2 linked regions of the Coturnix japonica genome follow. The protein of the gene in region 1 binds, or shares a complex with, the protein of each later gene. Links are inferred from orthologs where the notes say so. Each region holds a gene or a part of one and is shown in the gene's direction. Other genes may lie near its edges.

Evidence for each region.
Region 2: ERCC3 (region 1) and POLR2D share a complex: the UniProt entries of both Homo sapiens proteins name them as parts of the TBP-based Pol II pre-initiation complex. The link is inferred for Coturnix japonica from reciprocal best matches to the Homo sapiens genes ERCC3 and POLR2D.

What each region holds. Positions count from the first base shown.
Region 1 is NC_029522.1:23,171,481-23,175,967, reverse strand, and holds the start of ERCC3 (general transcription and DNA repair factor IIH helicase subunit XPB), read left to right. Parts: upstream 1-1,625; 5' UTR 1,626-1,700; coding exon 1,701-1,719; intron 1,720-1,798; coding exon 1,799-2,004; intron 2,005-2,121; coding exon 2,122-2,358; intron 2,359-2,575; coding exon 2,576-2,625; intron 2,626-3,428; coding exon 3,429-3,564; intron 3,565-3,755; coding exon 3,756-3,920; intron 3,921-4,487. UniProt on the Homo sapiens protein: ATP-dependent 3'-5' DNA helicase/translocase. Binds dsDNA rather than ssDNA, unzipping it in a translocase rather than classical helicase activity. Component of the general transcription and DNA repair factor IIH (TFIIH) core complex.
Region 2 is NC_029524.1:1,664,456-1,668,272, forward strand, and holds POLR2D (DNA-directed RNA polymerase II subunit RPB4), read left to right. Parts: upstream 1-1,382; 5' UTR 1,383-1,437; coding exon 1,438-1,510; intron 1,511-1,582; coding exon 1,583-1,763; intron 1,764-1,995; coding exon 1,996-2,091; intron 2,092-3,039; coding exon 3,040-3,118; 3' UTR 3,119-3,225; downstream 3,226-3,817. UniProt on the Homo sapiens protein: Core component of RNA polymerase II (Pol II), a DNA-dependent RNA polymerase which synthesizes mRNA precursors and many functional non-coding RNAs using the four ribonucleoside triphosphates as substrates.

The sequences.
Region 1 (4,487 bases):
CTTGTTTAAGCTCTATTTAAATTAATCATATTGATGTATACTGAAAAAAAAACGCGTAAGCAGGGTGACTAAACCTGGTGCCTTCTGTAGCCAGGCCTGAGCTTTGGGATGTGTATGGGACACCATAAGGAAGGGGCTGTGACTTGCACTGCTGTGTGCCACAGCATCTCCGAGCTGCTGAGAAGCAGCCTGACATGAGAGCCAGGTGTCACCCACAGCCACGTGGGGGCAGAACTGCCACCAAGCTGGCTTCCAGATCAATACTCTTGGTCAGAAACAAAGGAACTCCTCTCTCTTTTTAGCACTGAGGAGCCGGGCTGTGCGAGGTGCAGCTCTGGGGCTGCACGGGGTCCCCTGTGTGGGTTGAGTCTATCAGTGGGTACGTGTGTGTGCTCTGAAGGTGCAGTGCTGGCAGCCTCGCTTGGGCTAAACCTTTAGGTTTTTGTGAACTTACTTTATGTTAAGGGGAGAGGAACTGGATTAAAACACATGGAAATTGTATCTCATGGTTCAGTCCTTACTCTGAGTCCAGTGACGAGGGCTGCAGGTCAGGGCCCGCTGTGGGAACATACAAGGATACTTCACTCCAAAGTGGAAACACATCAGAGGTTTCCATGTCCCTTCCTTACAGCCCATCCTCTTCCTCAAAGCTTATCTCACATGGGTTTAAAAACGAGGGTTATCTTTATGTTGCTGAGCAGGCGTTAGGCTGTCAGTCCCCAGTGCTGGTTTCCCATCCATCCCAGCTCACAGCCTGGGTTCAGTGCTTGGATGTGGTGGTTCCTTGAAGCCTCGCCTGTCACCTCAGCCCCCCACAGCCACACGATGGAGAATCACTGTAAATACTCGAGGAGCCGTAGAGCAGTCGGAGCGTAGACTTTGTTTCCATGAAGCTCTGGATACCAATTTGTATATTCCTCTTGTACATTTTTACGTAGCCATTAAATCCTCTATTTAATCTATCGGTTTCTCACTGTAAATGTTTTTACTCAGTTGAATGCCGGGCACAGTTTGTAAAACGTATGTAACACCAAGGTGTTTTTTTCTATCAGCGTTGACTTTTTTGCACATTTTTGGAGCTATTTAATTTGTACTGATTTACTACACTGAGCGGTTGGCGATGGGTGTGTGTGAACCGTGTGTGTGTGTGTGTGCAATGTACTACTGCTGGGTGTGTGGGGTTGGGAGGTGTTGCTGTTAATAATGGTGTTGCTGGTGCAATTGGGTGTCAAACCAGGAGCTTAAAGGAGGGATGTGTGTGCCTGGGGTGGGCAGCTGGTCTTATAAGGGTCAGAACCCTGCCCTGTAACTGTGTGTGTGTATGTATCCCTATGTATGTCTGTATCCCTATGTCTGTATCTTGATCTTACTCCACAGTTTCATTTCTACATGTCGACGGCCTTGTTTTCTAAGGGCGCGCAGTTTCGTTCTGGTAATGAACTCTATGAAGCTCTGAGAGATGATTTAGACGATAAATATATTTTCAGCTGGCTGATGTTCAGAATATTTTTTTAAGTTTTTCGTTTTTAAACCATTCGAAGATGTATTTGTATTTCCGAACCGGACACGAGTTGTACGTAGCGATCAATTAAACACGCTGTAGGGACAACACGCTCCGCCTTCTGTCTTTATTACCACTCCCCGCCTTATTCTCTCCCCGCCTTAGTGCGGATGTGACGCCGAGGTTTCCGTCGGCCGCCATGGGCAGGAAGGAGCGGGGTAAGCGGGGCCGGGAGGAGAGGGGTTGGAGGGGGGCGGCGGGCGGAGAGCGGGCGTGTAACGGCGCGGTGTGCTATAGACAAGAAGAAGGGCAAGAAGCGGCACCACGAGGACGACGAGGAGGAGGAGGATGAGGCTCCCGGGAAGGACTCGCAGGAGGCCGTGCCCTCGGCGGCGGGGAAGCAGGTGGAGGACAGCGGCGCTAAGCTGGACGAGTACGGCGCTAAGGACTATCGGCTGCAGATGCCGCTCAAGGCTGACAGCGCCTCGCGGCCGCTCTGGGTGGTACGTGCGGGGCGGGGGCGGAACGCAACACAGTGATACGTCCCCACCTAAACACGGGAGCCCCCAGCACAACCTTGTAGGAGAATCCTCATCTGGCGTCTCGTTGTGTCGCTGTAGGCTCCTGACGGCCATATCTTCCTGGAAGCCTTTTCTCCTGTTTACAAATACGCCCAGGATTTTCTAGTTGCCATTGCTGAGCCCGTGTGCAGACCGACCCACATCCACGAGTACAAGCTGACCGCATACTCCCTGTACGCTGCCGTCAGTGTGGGCCTGCAGACCAGCGACATCACCGAGTACCTGCAGAAACTCAGCAAGACCGGCGTGCCAGAGGGGATCATCCAGTTCATCAAGGTCAGTCTGCATTGATGTAACACCATCTGACGCTCTGCTCTATCTGCATTACTGCTGTTTTATATACATTTTCTTTTGCTCAATGTTTTACCACCTTACTGTATTCTGTTATAAGAGAGCAGAGACTTTTATCTTACGTTTTCCCTTTCTCTGCTGTATGTAGCTCCATAAATGTTGGTGTGTTCTATTCCTAATGACTGCTGCTGTCTTTTTGCAGCTCTGTACGGTCAGCTATGGGAAGGTGAAGCTGGTGCTGAAACGCAACAGGTAAAAGCTGCTTTTGGCATAGTTGGTGTGAATGAAGAGATCTGCCAAGAACCCTTGAGAGTAGCCCTGCTGAGAAGAACGTCAGGGTCCTGGCAGATGAAAAACATAACGTGAGCCAGCAGCGTGTGTTTGCTGCCTGGAAGGACAGTGATATCCAGGGCTGCAAGAGAAAGGGCTGCATGGATCAAGGGTGACCAGCGGGGTGAGGGGGCCGATTGTCCTTGTAAGGCTCCATCTGAAGCATAACATCCAGGTCTGGAGTCCCAACACAGGGATGACATCAAGCTTTTGAAGAGGGTCCAGAGCAGGGCAACAAAGATATCCATCATAGAATTACCTAGGTTGGAAAAGACCTTGAAGATCATCAAGTCCAACTGCAGCCTAACCAGTACCCTAACTCTAAAAACCCTACACTAAATCATATCCCTAAGTACCACATCTAGACGGCTCTTAAACACAACCAGGGATGGCGATTCAAGCACCTCCCTGGGGAGCCTGGAGCACCTCTCTTCCAAAGACAGGCTGAAGGAGCTGGGCTTTTTTAGTCAGGAGGAGAGAAGGCTGCGGGGAGAGCTCATTACAGCCTTCCAGTGTTTAAAAGGAGTTTATAAGCAGAAGATAAATCAACTTTTTGCATGGGTAGATAGTGGAAGGACAAGGGGGAAAGGTTCTAAGTTGAAGGAGGGAAGATTGTTACATTTGAGTGCTTCTGGGCTGTAGATTTAAGCACGTACTGCTTTTTTCTGTAAGTTATTGTATCAATTAGTTCGTAGAGATGTGGAGTTTTTGTCCTTTTCTTGTAGGTATTTTGTGGAAAGTACCCATCCTGATGTCATCCAGCAGCTTCTGCAAGACCACGTTATTAAAGACTGTCGCCTGAGAAATGCCGAAGGTGAAGAAACGGAGCTCATTACAGAGACATTCACAAGTAAATCAGCGGTACGTGCGGCGTGTCTTAAAAGGATGGAATTCATATGAGATAAGCTGCTCGGTAGCTTGGAATCATTATTGTGCGTTAGTTATGTCAGCAGTTGTTTTCATTCCTGTCAGCCCTGTTAATGAACCCCACTTCAATGAGTGTCCTGGGGAGCATCTCTAGCGAATCTTTTGGTCTTTTCTGTCTTTTTCAGATTTCCAAGTCCAGTGAAAGTGGCTTTGGTCCATCCACGTCACAAGAAGCAGATGTTCAAAACAAGCCGGATGTCCCAGCTGATTTATATGAGTTTTATGAGCAGATGGACAAAGATGAGGAGGAGGAGGAAGAAACACAGACAGTGTCTTTTGAAGTCAAGCAGGCATGAACACCTTTGTTTCTTAGCGTGTGTAGCTTTAGGGGATGTGCCCTGGACTCTAATAGGTGTAAGAGATAATATCTAGTGGTTCCTTGTTTAACGTAAGAGGTCACTGGAAGCCAATAATGTTTCTTTCCTTTTGCCTTCCAAAGTCTTGGGATATTCCTTCCCGGTACAGAGTGAGCAGATTGCAGAACGTTCTTTTCTCTGCCCACAGAGTGCAGTCATTCACAAGTTAGAGAGGTTCCAGAAGCTCAGGGAGGTTCTGTTTGTGCTCGGCTTGATGCTGCTTTGTGCAGGGCTGATGAGGATTCAGTGGAGAGTAAATCTGCTGTTAGTTTCAGAGCTTTTCTTCCTCACAATTGATACTTACAGAGGAAGCTCTTGGTGGCTCTGTTTTCCCAGCTTGAGAAGCCGGAGGTCAGAGCACAGTCCTGACTTGGCCCTCAGAGGAATTTTGTAAGGCCTGTCTTGTTGCTGCATGGTGATTCTAATGATGCTTTTCTGGGGAAGACAGAAGTAATGAAAGGAGAACTTTTATCATAACCAAAGAAGTACTTGAGAACTGGA
Region 2 (3,817 bases), on another chromosome or scaffold:
ATGTTCCTATGTTTTACTATACAGATGTTTAGCTAAAGGGGTTTTGTTTTTGTTGTTTGTGTGTGTGTGTGTGTGTGTGTGTAATAGCTGTTTTTTTGCACTCAAGTTGCTAGTGGGTCTGTTTTCAGAGGGAAGGAAGGAATTGCTGTAGAGTATCTATTTAATAAACCACTGATGTCCCAACCAACACTTTCTGCCCTGGACTATGCAACAGAAGCTCATGTCTAAAACCTGAGACTGAAACCAAGCACAGCAGTGACAGGGAGCTGTTAGCCACCACCACCGCCTCCTTGGCTGTACCTTTATGCTCTTGTAGGTATGTGGCTTTCCCCGAATCCTTTCAGTTTTCATGTACTTAAGTAGGAGAGATCACTGGGGAACAACAGATGTTAAATTTGTAACCAAGACTGCAAGCTACCTACTGCTTGAAGATCAGGATGTTCTGAGGTGAAAGGGTATGTGAGAAGCTGTTGGGATTCCAAATGATTTTAAAAGGCTTCTCTCATCAATCTGGCATGTGGATGTGGCCCTGGACAGCCTCATCTAGTATTAGATATGGAGGTTGGTGGCCCTGCCTGTGGTGGTGGGGGGGGGAGGGGTTGGAGCTTTATGATCCTTGAGGTCCATTCCAACCCAAGCCAGCCTATGATTCTATGATTTCCTTGTTTTCTTGTAAACGTAATTGAAATAGCCTCATTCACTAGATGTTCTATTTCCACACTATCTTCCTGAGTGTCTTTCTGTTTGTACCACTCAGCTAATTCGTTTTTAGTTCGCTTCTCTGCCACGCTCGTCTGGAGTTAACAAACATTAAGGAGCTCAGATCTGATCCTGCAGCTCCTGGTGGAGCTCACCCACCTGCAGGGTGCAGGAAGCACAGCAGCCGGCACAGATGTGCGTTAGGAGAGCAGGAGTGGCCTCACAGTGAATCCTCCAGCCATTTATTTCTGCATTTCTTTAAGGGCATGGGGTGACATTGTGCAGCCTAAGATGATTACTGTAAGTCTTAAGCTGGTTGGGCACTTTCATGTGTGTTCCCAAGGGAAAGTACTACTACAAACACTACTTTGCTAGCAGTGCCAGGACGAACCCACTCATTTCCAGCCTGCCTGAAGCTTTAAGCTGTCTATGGATTATTCCTGAGTAGGCCAAAGAAGGGAACCTTACTTCTATTGTGTTCTGCTATTGCCATCCATGCTCCTCCCACACACACCTCCATGTATTTACCACACTGCACCAGAAGTAATGCTGCTGTGGGTTGTTTCCTGGAGCCATCACTCGCTGCGTTCCCTCAGAGGCATCAAGATGGAGGCGCTGGGTGCTCACAGCGCCGTGCAGCGCAGCTGGAGCCACCTGAGGCGCCGCTCCCTCTGCTGGGCGCCGGGCACTCACAGCGCTGCGCTTCCGGGCGCCATGTCTTCCAGTTCCGGGTGAGCAATGGCGGCGGGCGGCAGCGACCCGCGCACTGCGGATGTGGAGGAGGACGCCTCGCAGCTCGTCTTCCCCAAAGGTGCGCGGCGACACCTCGTGCTGTTGTTTGGATCCGTGTTTTAAACACTGACGTTTGCTTGTTCCAACGTAGAATTCGAAACGGCAGAAACCCTGCTGAACTCAGAGGTCCATATGCTTCTGGAGCATCGCAAGCAGCAGAACGAGAGCGCGGAGGATGAGCAGGAGCTGTCCGAAGTCTTCATGAAAACCCTGAATTACACAGCGCGGTTCAGCCGCTTCAAGAACAGGGAGACCATCGCCAGCGTCCGCAGGTGGGTGCGAGGCTTTGGGCTGTGATACGTAACATCAGCCTTGTTCGATGGAGCTGAGATTTACTGACGTTTCCTGGGCTTCCCACAGCTGTGTCTGTCTTTTTACCTATCCACTGTTGTAATGTTTCTTCCTTCATAAACTTGGATGCAGTGTCAAAAAGCAGAGTTGTGTGCTGTCTGCTTGCCTTGATGCTGCTTTGCTTATCTGTCTTGTTGTTGGCTTTCCTCACAGCTTGCTGCTCCAGAAGAAGCTCCATAAGTTTGAACTGGCGTGTTTAGCCAATTTATGCCCTGAGACTGCTGAGGAAGCCAAAGCTTTGATTCCCAGGTGAGCATTTATATACCTAAAAGGAGTGTGGTGTACTGCCCTGTGATGTAAAGCTGCCCATGGACAGATGCCTCCTCCATAATCCAGCTCTGCTGATGGGAAAACCTTCCATCTCAGTTTTTCTTCACTTACCCATTGATCTGACAGTGAAGCAATCTAAATATCCCTAACGCACTTTAGATAACATTTACTGGATTAAGAGTGATGGAATCGTGGAGTTGGAAGGAACCATTAAAGGCCATTTGCTCCAACTCCCCTGCAGTGAACAGGGACACCCACAGCTGGGTCAGGTTGCTCAGAGCCTGGCCTTGGATGTCTCCAGAAGTGGGGATTCCAGCACATCTCTGGGCAGTGGCTTAGACTGGGGCTGTCAGCCCAGCCAGCTGCGTTTGTTGGTTGTTGTTGGAGCAAACAGCAGTGTCCCTCTGAACCGCTGGGTGGACAATGTGCAGATGGGGCAGGGAGATCTTCCAGTGTCGTCTCATCATTTGTTACCTCGTACCCTGAGATAGAGGAGGAATGAGACACTCATCTGAAGTACAGCTTTCCCCTTGTATGCTAAGATTTCATAGAATCTTCTAAGTTGTACAAACGTTTGTTGAATACCTCCACAAAAGGCAACCAGCACTTCCCTGCTCAGCCTGTTCCAACACCTCACCACCCCTTCTGTGAAGAAATTCTTTCTAATTGAAACCTCCATTGGTACAACTTGAGGTATTTTGCTCACATTCTTCATAGCAAATCTGGACTGGCTTATGAGCATGAGGCCTGCACCCGGGTTGACCTTTTGGTACAATGACTTGAAATCATTCCACACTGAGCTGTGGGAAGGTTGGAGTTCTGTCACATAAACAGGAGGCTCTGCATGGGTGTGAAATGAATTCAGAGGGGAACAGGGGAGGCTGTTCCTACGAGCTTTAATGTACCCACCTTGTTCTTACCTTGCAGCCTCGAGGGCCGGTTTGAAGATGAGGAATTACAGCAGATTCTTGACGATATTCAGACCAAACGCAGCTTCCAGTACTGAAGCTGAGCACCAAAAGCTGCCCTGATACGCTCAGTTGTTTTGTATTATTCCCCTTAGCGTAAATTAAAAAAGATGTTTCTAAGATATTAAAAGATATTTCTAATTAAGCTTCTGTGTTCTGTCATATTTATGAAGATCTCTGCAATACACTGATTGTACTGGGACAAGGTGGACGCTCTGAGGGCTGCGCGGCTTCCGATTGCGCATGCGCAGGCTGTGGAGCGGCCTCCCTGCCGCTCAGCGTCTTATCGTGGTGCGCATGCGCCGCCCCTGGCGCTGGTGGGGGCAGGAAGATGGCGGCCGGCCGCGGCGGGGGATCGTGAGGCGGCGTCGGCGGCTTCCGGGGCCGAAGAGCCGAGCCGAGCCGAGCGGCGGGGCCGCGAGGGCGCGGTGGGAGACGCCGGCTGGACGGTGAGCTCGGCTGGGTGCGGTGTGAGGCGGGAGTGGGGCTCGGAGAGCGCGGTTCGCTCCGCCATTTTTAGGCCTTGGCCCTGGAGGGAGGCCGAGCTCAGGCCGAGCTCAGGTTGGAGCGGGGCGGGATCGCGGCGCTTCGGGCCCGGCCTTGTCCGCGGGGTGAGGGATGTGGGCTGTGAGCGCCGTGTTGTGGTGGGGCAGCGCTGCGCCGTGCGCGGCTGCTGGGGCCTGAGTAGAGCGTCTGTCCCGCTCCCAGTTCGTGCTGTTCCTCCTTGGGCCTGCGGG